Linked DNA regions of Oryctolagus cuniculus. The protein of the gene in region 1 interacts with the protein of each later gene in a biochemical or structural test. Links are inferred from orthologs where the notes say so. Each region holds a gene or a part of one and is shown on either strand. Other genes may lie near its edges. The genes, in order: EYA2 and SIX1.

The links.
Region 2: the proteins of EYA2 (region 1) and SIX1 form a complex in vitro, tested with the Homo sapiens proteins (2 studies listed by IntAct, with this or other methods). The link is inferred for Oryctolagus cuniculus from reciprocal best matches to the Homo sapiens genes EYA2 and SIX1.

What each region holds. Positions count from the first base shown.
Region 1 is NC_091442.1:12,761,815-12,769,799, forward strand, and holds the start of EYA2 (eyes absent homolog 2), read right to left. Parts: upstream 4,187-7,985; 5' UTR 3,855-4,186; intron 1-3,854. UniProt on the Homo sapiens protein: Functions both as protein phosphatase and as transcriptional coactivator for SIX1, and probably also for SIX2, SIX4 and SIX5.
Region 2 is NC_091451.1:9,916,511-9,924,521, forward strand, and holds SIX1 (homeobox protein SIX1), read left to right. Parts: upstream 1-2,849; 5' UTR 2,850-2,954; coding exon 2,955-3,514; intron 3,515-5,463; coding exon 5,464-5,758; 3' UTR 5,759-7,365; downstream 7,366-8,011. UniProt on the Homo sapiens protein: Transcription factor that is involved in the regulation of cell proliferation, apoptosis and embryonic development. Plays an important role in the development of several organs, including kidney, muscle and inner ear.

The DNA.
Region 1 (7,985 bases):
CAGAGGCTCTTTCGACTGCCTGCCGGTAACACTATTGACTCAGTTTAGGAACTGGAGTGCGGGGCATTAAGTATCGAAGGAACAAATCAAATTAGCCCTTGAAAACAAACAGCCATTTTCCCTTACCCAACCTGCTACCCATCCCGACTCTCAGAGGTTCGGATCTGCAGTTTCTAAACACTTCCCAAGATTTTAAGAACTTGTCGACGCAGCTTCAGAAAAAAACTGTGGGCCGCGCATTTAAAACCTTCCGTGTCCGGGAAACAATGGCATAGACGCTGCCAGAGCCACAGGTCCCACTGTTTGTGGCCGAGGCTTGCTCTGCAGCCAACGGAAGTCCCCCGTGGCTCTGCACAAGTCATCGGCCGTGGGACTCCGTTTCCTTGTTAACAAAGGTTGGATGAAAATTAAGACTCTCAGGAATCTTCCCTTTAAAACCCACGCGCAGAGCTGATTCCCAGCCTGACATCCGTGGACCCCTCAGCCGGCAGGAATTTAGCATCGTCGTGAAGGGCAAGGACACTTTGCAAGTGACAAAAACGGCCAGGGCACACAAGATGATGCAAGCAGGAAAATGCATTTTAAACAAAATGTAAAAACTGGCGACTTTCTTCATATTCTTTGGCCCTAAATACACCTGGCAGATACCTTCCTACCTGGAAACTGATTGCCCCTCTAATTCATCTATAGACAGAAGTCCAAGATGCATTTGGACACTTGCTTGTCTAAGTGCAGGAGGTTCACACTTGTTGGATTAGAAGGAGTGCTGGTCAACCACCATCAGGCCAGCTCAGAGCTTCCAACAATGAGAGCAAAGCATTGCTCCTGCAAATTCTCCAATTGTTCTCCTACCCGGGTCTCATGGCTGCGGGTTTAGCACTGTTTGAACCGCCACAAAGGAGAAAGGGGGAAAAGTGATCTGGGGGCGCGGCTCGGGGAGAGGCTGGGAGCGCAGGCGTAGGGGGCTGCGTGTTTCTGTTTTCTGTCCCCAGGCTGTGTTTTCTCGGGGCTGGGGCGAGTTCTCTGCACGGAGCTGCCTTCCAAGCAGGGTCCAGCGACTCCACTCCCAGAGCAGCTCACTAGAGAACGCATCATTCCACCGACACAACCCCGCACTGGCTCCAGAGGGTCCTGCCCCTCCCAAGCCCTGCAGCCGGAGAGCCACGTGCGAGGGCAGCACCTCCTTTCATGCGAAGCCTTTGGGGGAAGAAGTTCGTTTCTTCTCCAAGGAGTCCGCATCGGGCCAGCCTCGCTTTCTGTCGAGGGGCCAGGTGTGGAGGAGATAAGGGGCCATCTGACCCTCTCCTGCAGACTCAGCACAACCTGGGACCCAGAGACACCGTCAGCCGGATACGGAGTCTCCCTCCCGCTCCGGCCATCCCGGCAGACAGAAACCCCCAGGCCCCCGAAACACGCGTGCGTCTCCGAGTCATCCACACTCCCTTCTCTCCCCTGCCAGCCGCCGGCTCGCGCTCTCCCTGCCCCGAAAGGCATCTGCCGCGAGCTACTGGGAACCCCGCGTTTTCACCAGAACAGCCCGCGATTTTATTACACAAGGAGTTTATTGCAGGCCTAATTAGTCTCAAACTGGGCGTTCCGGCTGAGGACACCTAACACACATCTGGCGGAGAGCACGAGCCCTCCTTCGGAGCCTCTCGTGCCCGACGCAAGTTATCTTTGGAAAAGTCACTGAAAAAATAAGGAAACGGCTTCTTTGTGGGAAAGGAGTCATCTTGTCACGGGGGAACCAGGACTCGTCTTAAAGTGGACGCGCCTGCACGCTGCAGACTTAAACTGCCAGGTCTCAGCAGCTTCTGCTCCTAACTCAGGGCGCACTCAGCGGCACCACAGAGCCCTCGCCCAGGGCTTTTCCGTTCTCCCCGCGGCAGCCAGCGTTTTATCAATTTCCCCGTCTGGAACACGGCTTGCCATCGCTTCCATGCAATTTAAAGCAGAAGTCATGGCTGCTTAGTAGACACAGTGTGTCTCGGGTCTCGGGTGTTTTTGCCAAATCGTAATCCTGTAACAAGTCAACAAACCATCTCTTTATGACGTGCTTAACACAACATAAAAGGCATGAAAAGAAGATTTTAAAACTTAAGTATCTACAATATTGTTTTTTTTTTCTGTAAAGCCCAACGTACTGGTGTAGACATCTTTTTCTTTTTCTTGCCTTTCCTTAGTTATCTGATATCAAGAAAGTGATTTATGTGTTTATCCACACGGCCACTGTGCCGGGCGAGCTATTTGAGGATGGAGGAAAAGGGGGCCGCTCCTTTCAGATAAATCAGCGAGTGTCCTGAAGTCAGGAGCGAGACGGGGACAGGAGAAGCTGCTACAGAGAAGCCGACAGGGACAGGAGAAGCTGCTACAGAGAAGCCAGGTTGCTCCGTCGCTCAGCCTTCCCCGCAGGCCGCTGCTCACAAGGGCAACACTTAGCTTCCGCCAAAGGCACGGAGATTTTGAATCCAAACCCGGCCCTATGCTTTGTCCAAAGCAAGATTCAAACCGTCACCATTTGTACCGTACATTGCCTGTTAACCCTGCCCAGTCTGCCGAAGTCGGAAGAAGACGACGAAATAGAAGTTTGCGGGGTTACCGTGGTGGGAAGGGGGGCATTTCTTGGGTGAAATTCTTTCCCAAGGTTATTTTGAAAAGGAGTCTCCCCCCACATACACACACCCGTGTCTGCCCCCTTTTTCTCACATGGCGCCGTGGACACCCGCCGACGTGGATACCGGCTCAGGACTCAGACCCAGTCAATGCTAAGAACAGCCTCTCCCCCAAACCCCGGGCGCCCACGGCCTCAGTCTCAAGTGTAGCCGCTGCCCCTGCCCGGGGCCATGAGCCCCTCCAGGGAGGGAGCGACGACCGAACCAAGTCCTCACGGTGGCCCCGAACCCGCGGCCTCCGCCGTCCCCGGGCGCGCCCCGCCAGGCGGTGGCCCCTCACGCAGCACTTCAGGGACACGGGAAGAAAACGCTGTCCACCGCCGTGCAGCCCCCAGCCGGCTCCGGAGGGCGGCGGGGCGCTCGGGGCGCAAGGCGAGGCGCCCTCGCCGCTGCCGAGAAACGCGCGCCCAGGGTCTTTTCCCTGGCCGCGATCACGCGGGTTCCCCGGAGCTTGTCAGCGACTCCTTTCGGGATCTCGGGCCGCAGAGCCGTGCGACCTCCGGGCCGCGGGGCTCCGGGGCCGATCTGCCCCCCACTCTCTCCCCGTACAGGAAAGCCCTCGCCTTCCGCGAGTCGCCTTCGCGCGTGCAGTTCCCAAGTCCCAGCTCCCACTCAGCGGGCGCCGGGGCCGCGCGCTCCGCTACCACGCGCCCGGACTTTGCACGAGAGAGGTCGCGGGGAAGGCGAGGCTCGGCGGCCCGCTCCGCTCCCTCCGCGGTCAGCCACCCGCGCTGCCCTGGGGCGAGCTCCCGGAGCCCCTTCGGACCCGCACGGGAGCGCCTCCGCCACCTTTTCTTATTTTTGCGAACCGCCAGGACCGTAAACGCAACCAAACACGGAAGACCCAGCCCCGTCTACACCGCCTGCGCGCCGTGCACTTGTCCCGCGCGCGGGACTGCTAACTTCAGGGTCGCTCCCCCCACGCCCCGCCAAAGCGCACGGGGAAACTGAGGCTCGGGGCCTGAGGGGGACCTTCCCGAGACAGGGTCTGTCTGGTGCCCCCTCTGCCCCTGGACTCTGGGAGTGGCCCTGGGAGCCCCAGGCGCCCCCGAGCTCCCCGACAGCTGGGAGGCCCCGCTCGGCGAGCGCGGGACCGAGGCGCCGGGCGAGGGGATCCCGGGCAGTTCCCGCCCGGCGAGTCCCGGCGGGCGGCCCGGAGTGGGCGCCGCGGGCGGTACTCACCGCGCGCAGAGGAGAGGGCGCCCCGGCGCGGCGCGGCGCGGGTCGGATGCGGCGGGGCTGACTGCGGCCGGCGCGCTGCTGCCTCTGCTGCCTCCGCCTCCTGGGCTGCCGCGGCCGCTGCCTGCGCGCGGAAGACCGGCCCCTGCCCCTCCCTCGGCCGGGCCCTCCCTCTGCCCCCACCCGGGTCCCCGCACCGCTGCGTGGGCGCGTGGGGGCGCCGAGGCGCGGCGCTGGGCTCGGCCGGCGCACGCGGGGCGAACGGCTCGGGCCCTGCCGATGCGGCCGCGCTGCTCCGGGCGCCTGCAGCCGAGGCGAGCGCGCTCGGCCTCGCGGGTCCTGCCGGGGAGGCGAGCGCCCAGTCTCCTCCCCACCCAGCGGTCCCCAGCGCCGCCTGCCTCCCGGGGCAGCGCGTCCCCCTGCAGCCCGGGCAGGGCCCCTGAGAAAGGAAAGGCTGATGGGAACGAGTGCTCAGCCACGTCGCGGACACTCATTCATTCACTCACCCACCCATTCATTCATTCATTCATTCAGCGTGGATGGGGCCTCCACGTGCCTGCGCAGTGCCTGGCGGATTCCGCTGGAATCAAAACCCTGTTCTGCCCCCCTGGAAGTTACCTACACGCGGAGAGCCAGGCCTAACGCAAACACGCGAAGCCAGAGCAAGGCCACGCTGGGAACTGACCGCACCTGTGGCCCGAGGCGGTAATCCCAGCTACAGCAGTTCCGGAAGGCCTCTGGAAGGAGGTGACATCTGCATCAGGAGACCGTATCCGTGAGACGAGGGTTCACCCATTTCACAGATAAGGAAACTGAGGCCTCAAGAGTGTATTTCGATTACAGGGCCGAAATTAAGCCCCCCCCCCTTAATTCACCGTGGCCTGGCCACCGTGCAGTCTTTGCGGGGTTAGAGGTCTTCCACGGCGTCCGTGCACGCTCCTCTCCCCCTCAGCCACTGTCTAAGCTTATGAATTCCACTGTGGGACCTCCGGGCTCCCGTCTCAAAGCATCCTGGCCCGCCGTGGCCGTCTGTGGGGCTGCAGGAAGTGGGGAGGGCAGCCAGGAGGGTCTCGGGACGGAGCCTGGCGTGGAGTGCGCCCTCCGCGAGCCGTGGGGGTCGGGAATTCCGCCTTAACACAGATTTTTATTTGCTGCACCTGGCAGCCCTATGCCCCTCTAGACTGAACCAGCTTTTGCTGATCTCGCCTCATCCCCCCCTCCCCAAGACTCAAAGGTGGTTGAAGTTCGCAAGCCCATTTTACACGGAAGCCCAGCGGAGGCAGAGCGGCCGAGCCAGCGCTGAAATCCAGGTCTGGCCGGCTCCCAGGCCCTGGCTCTCGCTACTGAAGCGTCTTCAGCTCAGCCGCAAGGGGCCTGGGAACCCCAGGGGCGCTGGGCTCCCGGCCTCTGCACTTGCGAGGGCCCTGCCTCAGGGTCGGGGGGGGGCAGAGAAGCGGTCACGCGGTCACTTGTTCAGGTGCAGTGCATCAGCGTCACTGGCCCTCAGCTCCCAGCCACCAGCAGTGAAGACTGCTCTCCCTCCACGCTGCTCCCCACCTGCAGCCGAGTGCGAGGCCTGGGAGAGGCCAGAGGCAGCCTGGGATCCAGGCAGGGAAAGCTGGCCTGGGAATCTTGCAGTTTTCTTAACCGTTTTTCTCAACTGCTTAACTCTGTTGGGGTGGCGTTTAGCCTAGTCCTACTTCAGAGCGCCTGGCGTCTACTCCCGGCTCCAGCTTCCTGCTAACGTGTGTCCTAGGAGGCCGCAGCCATGGCCCAGGTAGGCGGGTCCCTCTCTGCCACCCATGTGGGAGACCTGGATTGAGTTCCCGCCTGCCGGCTCTGGCCCAGTGCAGTCCTGGCCAGTGGATGGAAACCAACTTCCTCCCTCCCTCTGCCGCCCCCTTTCCTCTCTGTCTCTCAAAGAAATAAACAAAAATCTGCACCGATGACTTCCTAATGTAAAGAAATATTCACTATTTAGTTCTGGATTCATAATCTTGCCTTCTATTTCTGAACAAGGAGCCCAAAACCATATGTGAGGGGCCATGAAAAAATTCATGGAAACGCACACTATGAATCTAAACGTTTCGGTTTGGAGCAAAAGAAACTTCTCGTTTTCCCACGAACTTCTGGAAGGACCCTGGACGGGTCCTGGACCCCTCTCTGGTCGCGGCTTACCCCCCCCGCCCTGCTTCCTGCTGCCCCAGCTCAGGGAGAAGCAAACGTGCCCATCCTCCTCCTCCACGCCCTGAGCAAAACGGCCACAGCCACAGCCATACATTGGACTCTTGCCTTCTCAAGGCCAAGCTACACATAAACTTGGCCTTGATTTTCCCTTCCCTGAAATGGGGTAGCAGCGCTCGTCCTGGATGATTGCTGTGAAGACTCACGGAGGTCATGCGTGTAAAACACTCCCTGCTGGCACGACGGCCGCCACGCACCATGGCTCGGCAGATGTGCTTCCCGCACGCCCAGCCCCTCCCCACAGCATCTTTGCAAACAGATGTGTTGCGTCTACCTTGGCCCGTGAACCTCGGGGCTATTTTTTTTTCCCTAAAGGAATAGACTGGCTTGGGAGATGGCAGGTGAACTGCGTGCAGCCGGCACAGTCATCCCTCGGCATCCGCAGGTGCTCAGGTTCCTTGGAGAGAGTGGCCCAGGCTTGCACAGAACCCACGCAGCCTCGGGGAAGCTCCAAGCCGCCTCTCGCTGACCTGCTGCACCTGCTGCCCGGATCCCACGTCGAGTGGCTGTGTAAGGTTGTGTCGGGAGTAACGACAGGGAAGCCACATCTGTCCATGTTCATACAGACGCACCGTTCTTTTTAGGAGATTTTGGATCCAAGGTTGGTGGAATCCGTGCCTGTGGACGGCGGATTGAATATGTTCATACATGGGTGTTCATGTCTACACGGGCTCTGGGCTAGCGTGTGAACTGTTTCTCCCTGAGGATCAGGGTGTGGGGAAATGCTCAACACTTAGGAACAAAGGGCCCCCATGGAATGTAAGGGGTTAACCCCACTCCCCCAGCGCCCATTACCCGATAATGTGCGGCCGCACCCAGGCCAAGAGAAGGCGGGGCAGGTGCTTCTTGTGGGTCCTTCTCTCAGGGCAGTGGACTTCAGCCCCCTGCCTGTTCACACCCCCAGAGGGGCTTTTAAAGCTCCCCCAGCCAAGGCCCCCAGCCCAGAACAATTGTACGCAACTCTGCAGGTGGGACTGTGGCATGGGCAGCTCCCAGCGACCCCAGGGTAGAGCAGAGGGCGAGAGAAGCCCCATCCTGGGGAGAGGGAAGCCTGACCCCACAGCACCAGCAGAGGGGTAGGAGCGGAGGTGGGACCAGAAGCCTCGAATCTTATTCGGGATCACGGGAAGCGCAGCCGCGGCTCTGCAGGAGTTGCCCTTGTCTCTTTCTTCCCTGAATGTGTCCTTGGTAAGTACCTGTCCTAACGACCTGCAAAATAACTCTAAACAAAAGCCGCACAGGTGACGCCGCCAAGCAGGCTCTTCGGGGTGCAGAGCACAGACACGCCTACTCTCTTCTTCCACGGAAATGCTCTGGGAAGCGAGGAGAGCGTATTCACTCCGCAAACCACGAACTTTACAATGCCCTCAGCATGTGCCTGCGCATCCTACAAACACGCATGTGTCCTCCCCACGCCAAGTCCTGCTGTAGTTCTATGCACACCCCTTTTTTCTATACACATAAGCAGTCTCTCCTTTTTGATGCTTCATTGAAACCTTGGCTCTTTCCAAAAGGATCTGAGGCAGCTGCAAAAACATATATGGCAGCAGAATAAAGAAAACAAGAGAAGCAGGTGATGGAGAAACAAGGGAGGAAAGAAAGTCAAGGGTGAGGTTTTCACAGAATGGGGGCCAAGAGGTCCTGGGCGCTTGTTAGTGGTGGACTGAGAATGAGATAGTGAGCTTCCTGGTAGCCGATGCAAAGACAGAAATGGGATCAGCTTCCAACTTCCTACTGCTCCAAAGCAAGTGTGTCTGGGAGTTTGGTGCAGACGAAGGAGGGGAAGTGTCCCAGCCATAGCCTTGTGTCTGCCCCGTTTCTCCTGCGGGTACTCGTAAGGGGTCTGAAGGAGCCCAAACCTCTGCAGGGTCAAGATGGAAAAGCACGCAT
Region 2 (8,011 bases), on another chromosome or scaffold:
TGGGAAACCTTATATATCCGAGCCAATAATTAACATTTATAACAATTGGTTCCCCTAACCGAGGGATCGAAATAGCAGGTAGGACCCTTGGAACAAAGCGCAGAGCACTTTCCTTTCTAGCTAACGCGATCGGTTGGATTAAACGCCAAGAAAAGGGCCAGCGGGCTTGGGCACCGGCCCTCGGACCTCGGGCGCTCCTCACCAATCACAGAACCCACCCCGTCTTCCCTGCGGTCGCCCACGTCTTCCTTCTGAAGAGAGATGGGAAGAAGTGTGCAGGGAGGTCTGGAGGAAGCAGGGTTTCAGCGGTGGTCCTACTGGCGTCTAATCGCCCTCTCTCTGCTCGCTGTCATCTCCTGTAGAATTTATACCTGCCTTTATTTGTCCAAGCTATGCCTCATTTCCGTATACAAAATTGTTAATTACAAAGCACACCGCATACTCAGCACACTGTTTGTCTTTTCAGGGACTCGGCTGTGCTGCAAGACCTCCCTCCACCCCACCCCCATTATAATTGTGCGCACTTGCTCCAGACTTTAGGGTATTAGCTGATTTTCGGAGCCTGGTTTAAGCCTCCGTTCCGGTCCTCACACAGCTGCGTTGTCAATAAGACTGTTCCAAGCAGAGACATTCGTTCTGGCAGGACACCGCAGCTCCTCAAGACTTCATCTGAAAACATCACGGGCACTAAAATAAGACAGCGAGGGAAAATTACCAGACACATGGCCTTGGACTCAGAGTGCCAGGCTTCTAGTTTAGCAAGTAAGTCACTGAGCGTACCATGTGGCAGGGGTTCTTTTGAAACCACACGCACCCATTAAATGCATTTTTTTAAAAAAAATTAGCCTAGAGGTAATGAAATATCAGCATCTGCTTCCAGCGTCTAATTGCATGGGATACAGAGAGCTTGCAGGCTGCAGAAAGCATTGTGTAGGAGTTCAGCAGGGAGGCAGCTCCCTCTCTGCTTGAATCTCCCCAGAGGCGGCGCTGACGTGGGAAACCTGTAAGAGTTGACCATGGACATTGCAGGGTGCACTGGGTGGGGTGCATTATTTTAAAACCATATAAATTATACAAGGAGAAACCCACACAGGCTCTCCTCCTGCCACTTATGTCTCTCTATGCTACAGATTCTGTAATGCAGGGCTCTTTGACTGATGGAATCCAAACATATTTAAAGAAGATGAGCAAGTTTAAAGAGCCTAGGGTTTGTTCTTCTCCATCCCCTAAGAGGGCGCGTTGCAATCAAAAGCATTTTTGAAGTGTACTTAAAATTCTGTTTTGAACTTATCTAATCAGAGATAAGTATAGTCATAAAGTCCTTCTCCTTCCACCATTTGGCTTCCCTTATCTCCACTCATTGTTCTTATCTCCTGCCAGTCTCAGCTACTGACAATAGATTATCTCTGTTTAGAGAGGCTAATTGTTTTCAGAATCTTTTTAATAATTGCTTTGGAACAAGGTGTGCAAATGAGGCTTAAGATAATTACAGCTTCATTTGTTGGTGCAGTTTTACTACACATTCTTCACACATGGAGCAAAATAGCAGATGACGGGACTGAAATTGCCAGACATCTCTGTTGTCTGGTAGTACACACGCACGCACGCACACGCGCACATGCAGTCTTTATTTAATCATCTTCTTGCAACCACTGTCCGCGTCCCTTTGAGGATAGTGTCCCTCTCAGAGCAGGGCAAAGGATTACGTTACAACCGACGGTTACTGGAGCCGGGGCACAGTTTTATTTAATTTACACCCCGTCCAGCGCCTTTCCCAAAGCATTTTTGCTAATGGCAAGCAAAGCTTCTAGGCTTTCCTCAGTAGCAGAAGCGGCGTGGGAGAGCGATCGCGCGGCTGAGAAACTGAGGCTAGAAGCCTGCTGGCTCCTGTACGGCGCAGAACGCCACGAACCCTCGAAGTCGCCACCCGACAAAAGCGACTCTCTTTTAACCAGCTCTTCGCCATGTCGCAAACCCGGGTGGCCCTCGGAGGACGCGGTCCGGCGGCTAATTCCAGTGCCCCGCGGAAGGCGGTGGGGAGAGGGGAGAGGAAGGAAGGGGGTGGGGAGGGGCGAGGCTGGGCCCCTGGGGCTGTAGCGAACCCGGGGAGAGAAACCACTTCTCTAGCGCCCGCAGCCCAGAGCCCGGGTCGGTTCTTGTATTATTTATCGCGTTCCATACGCTATTCATCAATCCATTATTTATTCATTCCAACATTAAGGTAATTAAATATGAGCTCACCGAGAAAGGGCCAGTCTGCAAGGGGCCGAGGCAGGAGCACCGAGGGAGAGGAGGGGAATTAGAACGCTCAGGGCCATTGATTCGTGCGGACACGCGCGCGGCTCCCCTTAGATGACACTGGCGAGGGGGCGCGCGCTGCAGTGCGGCGACTCTTCGCCCACTCCCCCACCCCCGCAGCGCGGCTCCCTCCCACCGGCCGCACCTCGCTTCCCACCTCTTAGGGTTGGTCACTCGCCTCCCACCACTCCCTACCCCCCGCTCGGCAGCCTCGCCCTCCCCGCGCGGGGCGGTGCGGCCCAGCGGCCCGGCCGGGCGGTGCGCGGGCAGGCCAGCCCCGGATAGGCGCCGCCGGCAGCCAATCAGCGAGCCGGGGACGCTGCGCGCTTTAAGGCCGCTGCGGGGAGAACAGAAACCAACTTCCCCGGCCACGAGCAGCATCCACCGGGCGGGAGGCCGGAGCCAGCGAAGCCCGGAAGGCTGAGGAGTGTGCCGGCCGCTCGGCGTCCAGCGCGCCGCCCGCCCCCCCCCCTCCACGCCCCGCTCCTCCGCGTCTTCCTCGGCCGCCCACCCCCCCAAGTTCCGACTCGCTCGCTCTTCCACGCAAAGCCTGGGGAGGGGGTTAGGAGCAGCCGCGCCCCTCTCCCAGCGGCCGCTTTTTGGGCTCTGCTCCCTGCCGCGTGCGCCTGAGCCGCGCGCCCCGGCAGGCCTCAGCCATGTCGATGCTGCCGTCGTTCGGCTTCACGCAGGAGCAAGTGGCGTGCGTGTGCGAGGTTCTGCAGCAAGGGGGAAACCTGGAGCGCTTGGGCAGGTTCCTGTGGTCGCTGCCCGCCTGCGACCACCTGCACAAAAACGAGAGCGTGCTCAAGGCCAAGGCGGTGGTCGCCTTTCACCGCGGCAACTTCCGCGAGCTCTACAAGATCCTGGAGAGCCACCAGTTCTCGCCGCACAACCATCCCAAACTGCAGCAGCTCTGGCTGAAGGCGCACTACGTGGAGGCCGAGAAGCTCCGCGGCCGGCCCCTGGGCGCCGTGGGCAAGTATCGGGTGCGCCGAAAATTCCCGCTGCCGCGCACCATCTGGGACGGCGAGGAGACCAGCTACTGCTTCAAGGAGAAGTCGCGGGGCGTGCTGCGGGAGTGGTACGCGCACAACCCCTACCCCTCGCCGCGCGAAAAGCGGGAGCTGGCCGAGGCCACCGGCCTCACCACCACGCAGGTCAGCAACTGGTTTAAGAACCGGAGGCAAAGAGACCGGGCTGCCGAGGCCAAGGAAAGGTACGCGGCGTGGTTCCCGCCGCTCGGGCGACCCCGGGCAGCCTTCCCAACCCCTCCGCCCCTCCCCGCCCCCGCAGGCACCCGCCACTCGGTGCTCCCCGCCAGCGGGAGCGCGTCCGCGGGGCGGCGCCCGGGCCTCGGCGGGTTCCGCAGCGAAAGTTCGTGAACTCGGAGGTTGCTTGCCAGGGACGGGGGCCTCGCTGGCTCTGAGCGCCGCGCGCGGGCCTCTCTGAGTCGTGGGTGTTGGGAAGTATTGGCGCTAGATTTGTTTTTGGAGCCTTCCCGGCCGGCTGCGGCCAGGAGCTGGGCGAAGGGTGAGAACCTCCGGACGAACGGCGAGGGAGGCGTCGAATGGGGATCGCGGAGAACGCGGGTCGGCGGGGGCTGAGCGGAGCGGTGAAGCCGCCCCGAGCCGTCGGCTGGGCCCCCCTGCCACCCGGTTCTCCCCTCGCTACGTCCTGCTGGTCTCCGGCCTGGGAGTCGCCTGCTTCATTCCGCCCTAGCCGGACAAAGGGAGGCAGGCGTCTTTAAACTAAACGCACAGCGAGGAGGGCTTGGGGGAGAGCTGGAGCCGCTGGTACCGCTCCCCGCCCCGGCGCCCCGAGCCAGAAGGGATCGCCCCTGGCAGTGTGGCCGGGGCGCCGCAGCCCGTCCGCCCCCGGTCCGTGCCGCCGCCCGGGGCGACGGAGGGGTCTCAGGCGCAGACGCCACTGGTCCTGGGGCGCAGAAGGCAATCTATTTCCAATCCGCCTCCGCCTCTCCCCTCCTAGCGCCAACACCCTCGGCCACCTGGCCGGCCTCCATCCGTGCGCTGGAGTTTCCGACCGAGACTGGGAAGGCGGCGAGGAGAGCGCTCCGCGAAGCCGAGGAGTTTTGGGGGAAACCTGAGCGCAAGGGCCGGCTGGGTTTCCTTTGTTCGCTTCCAAGCCTGGGGGCCCGAAGATCTGGCTTCCTCTTTCCCCCTCGGGGTGGAAAACCGCGGGGGGGATCGTGTACGTTCAGCTGAAATGGGCTGTCTGGGAGAGAGGCCGCGGGCCGGGGAAAGGGAGGGGGAGAGCGGCGGGCGCCGGTTTGGGGAGGACCCGCGAGCGCTTGGAAGGCGGAAGCGTCCAGGGCAGCGCCGCCCTGGAGCTAACCCGGACTCGGTGCCTTGGACGCGCGTACGGGCGCGCCGGGCAGCTCCGCTCCCCGGTCGGAGGGGACTGGCCTGGGGTGAGCTTCGGCGGCGAGTTTGACAGGGGCCGCGAGGGGCTGAGCAGTGGGCAAGTCGCAGGGCAGCAGGTTCCAGTTAGCCTTTACTTTCAAAACGCCATCCCAGAAGCCGGGCCCAAGGGCCCACTCCCTGATGAAATCCGAGAGACTGGCCGCGCTCCCTGTGTTTGCTCAGGTCACTGGGCCGCGCTGGGCACCACTTCCCGTGACCCGTCCAGTGCCTCCGAACCCGCCACCTCCGGGCAGGGGGGCAGGGAAGCTCCTCGTTTAATTGTTTCCGCAGATGGGAACAGAGCAATTGACTCGATGTACCCCAAACATGTGTGCCCTGGGCGCTGCGTTTGTCCCCTGGCCATTTCTCTATCATCAACAACCATTTGTTGGAAGAGTTCGCCGTTAACGTCTGAATGTGCTCTTAGTTGGTAGGCGTTTCAATGCAAGGCCTTGGCACGTTTTTTGTTTGTTGCAAGTAAGACCTGTGCATCTGGCTTTCTGAAATCTGGGAATGACAGAGACCTGGCTCCCCGCGGCAGGCTGTGTCCCTAATTTCTGCCTCCTCACCTCCTCTGTGACCCTCAGGGACCGTGGAGAGGGGGGCGACGGCGGCAGAGCCCTTCCATTTGGGTTGGTGACAGATTGCACAATGGCCCTCTCCTCCTTCCAGCGCCCCTCCCTCCAGCTCACACTTTTTTTTTTTTTCTTTTTGTAACCATATGGTGTTGTCCTGTCTGTCTTAGGGAGAACACGGAAAACAATAACTCCTCCTCCAACAAGCAGAATCAACTCTCTCCTCTGGAAGGGGGCAAGCCGCTCATGTCCAGCTCAGAAGAGGAATTCTCACCTCCGCAAAGTCCAGACCAGAACTCGGTCCTTCTGCTACAGGGCAACATGGGCCACGCCAGGAGCTCAAACTATTCCCTCCCGGGCTTAGCCGCCTCGCAGCCCAGCCACGGCCTGCAGGCTCACCAGCACCAGCTGCAGGACTCTCTGCTCGGCCCCCTCACCTCCAGTCTGGTGGACTTGGGGTCCTAAGCGGGGGCGGCCCTGGGCCTTGAAGGGATGGCTGGAACAGCAACCAACCAGAGCGACTAGGGACACTTGTAAATAGGAATCAGGAACACCCTTGCAGCTTGTTTCTGGGGTTCTTTGCGCATAAAGGAATGGTGGACTGCCACAGATATCTCTTGAAAAAAATCGAAGCCGATGGTGATTTCAAACTTTAGTCTCCCTCTTCTCTCTGACCCTTCACTTTTGCGTTTTCCCGTCCCAGTGTGGAGATCAAGGGGGGGAAAAACCCAAAAACAAAAGCACCCAGGCATTGTTCTGAGCGACCAATGCACCTTCTTCGAATACCTTTCTTTTCTTTCCCCCCCAATGAACAGGAATTGCAAGTCAACTGGATTTTAATTATTTTCTTTTAATTTATTTAAGGAAAACTATTTTGGAAAGAGGAAAAAGAAATGGAGAGAGAGAGAGAGAGAGAGAGAGAGGTGTCAAAATAATTATGAAAATAGGAACCTCCTGCCTGGAGGAACTGGCTGTATTCTTAACATGAGTAGGAAAAATATAATCATACCACTTTTTTTTTGATGATGGGAAAATTAAGTTTACATTTTTCATATTTAGTGTTAAATAATTTTATGTAGATTAAAATAAAAGAACAGTATTAGGGGGAAAACCAAGTGCCTAAATGTCTTAATACTGTCTAGTGTGAGGCAGTTAGAATAGAAGTCAACATTAGTGATACAACTGTTTTATTGTCAAATTTGGTGGGGTTTTTTTTTTTTTGGTTGTTGTTTGTTTTCTTGGTTTTTTTTTTTTTAAGTGACAAACTCTAAAAATGTACCAATGTGAAAAATAACTTTCCTGAATGCATTAGGTCTCCTGTGCTCACAGCTGTCAGCCCATAGCCGCCTCCTGCTCACGGGGCTCTCCTGTGCCCAGCGTCCAGCTTGCACAATGTGGCGACAGATCTGGCGTCCTGGTATTCGTTACTAAAACAGCATGTGTTTTCAGGTTTCTTTTCTATTGTACCTAAACCAGTCTAAATTAAAACTTGGTAGAACACCAGGAGTACGATTCTGTTTCTCAAAGGTGAGTTGTGTATTACTGTCATTGGGCCCTATTTTTTTTAATGCTTTCCGACTTAACGGTGGTTATGAATTACAAGGTGACTTTTAAGGCCATCACCTGAATCAAGAGTCCTACCTAACTTAATAGTATGACAGAGAAAAGTGAGTTTAGCTTTGGAGTATTTATTTATTTTTTATTATTTAGATATGCAGTTTCGTTTACCACTAGTTCTTAATGGCATTTATATGGTAGCTCTTTTGTGTTAATAAATTTATGACAACACTGTGAAATTAAAAATAATTTATCTGTTTGGGGGGAAAAATAGGGAACTCGACCAAGGAGAGACACATTGTGGATGAATCTGCGCAGAGAGAAAGAAGACCAGCAGAACAGGGGCTTTTTTTTTTTTTTTTCAGGGCTGCCTGGTAGTGTCCAGAAAAATCCCAATAATCTTGTAGGCTCCATATTATTTTTTTTTGCCTGAGGCAAAATGATGTATCTTCTGTATTTAGCTTTAAAAATTAGTGAACAAATGGCATTATTTATTAAAACTCTACTCAGGATAACAGGAGTGGCTTGCTTGTGCTTTGTAAAATATTGTTCCCTAGGGAGAGTTTACTTTCTGACATGACAGTTACATAATTTTTATTTTTTTCCCCATCTATACGTGTCACCATGGATGTGTTCATTTCTTTCTTAGGCTTTCTTATTGTTCCTGTCCTGGTTCCGGAGCCTGGAGGGGTGTGCTTGTGTGTTTTGTTTTTTAGCTGTCAGGTTGCTTTGAGAGCTGGGCGCGCCGTGTCTGACCGTAGTGGCTTTTACTTATAAAGTCATTTTCCCGTCGGTGATGGACAGATGTACACAGGGCCGCTATGAGACCGTCACCGGGGCTGGGGCTCAGGGTCCCAGGCTCCCTTGTTAGTGTTTTGGATCATTAAGTCGGTGTTTATTTAAGTCACTAGGGTGTTTATTCTCTGCGTCTTGGGCCACGGAAAAAAGGCCCCCCTCTGCGGGAGGGGCTCGCGCAGGGAAATCTCCGCGCATTCTTCGCATTCACTCCCCAAAGCAAACACCCCGCACCGAGATAGTTTGCAATGACCCCGATAGGTTTCAAAGGACGCCGCGGAAATCTCCCCGGACAACAAGGAAGGGCCAATTACTTTAATGTCTTCCCCGCCCTGGACGCCCACCCCGCACTCCCAGCTCGGCCCC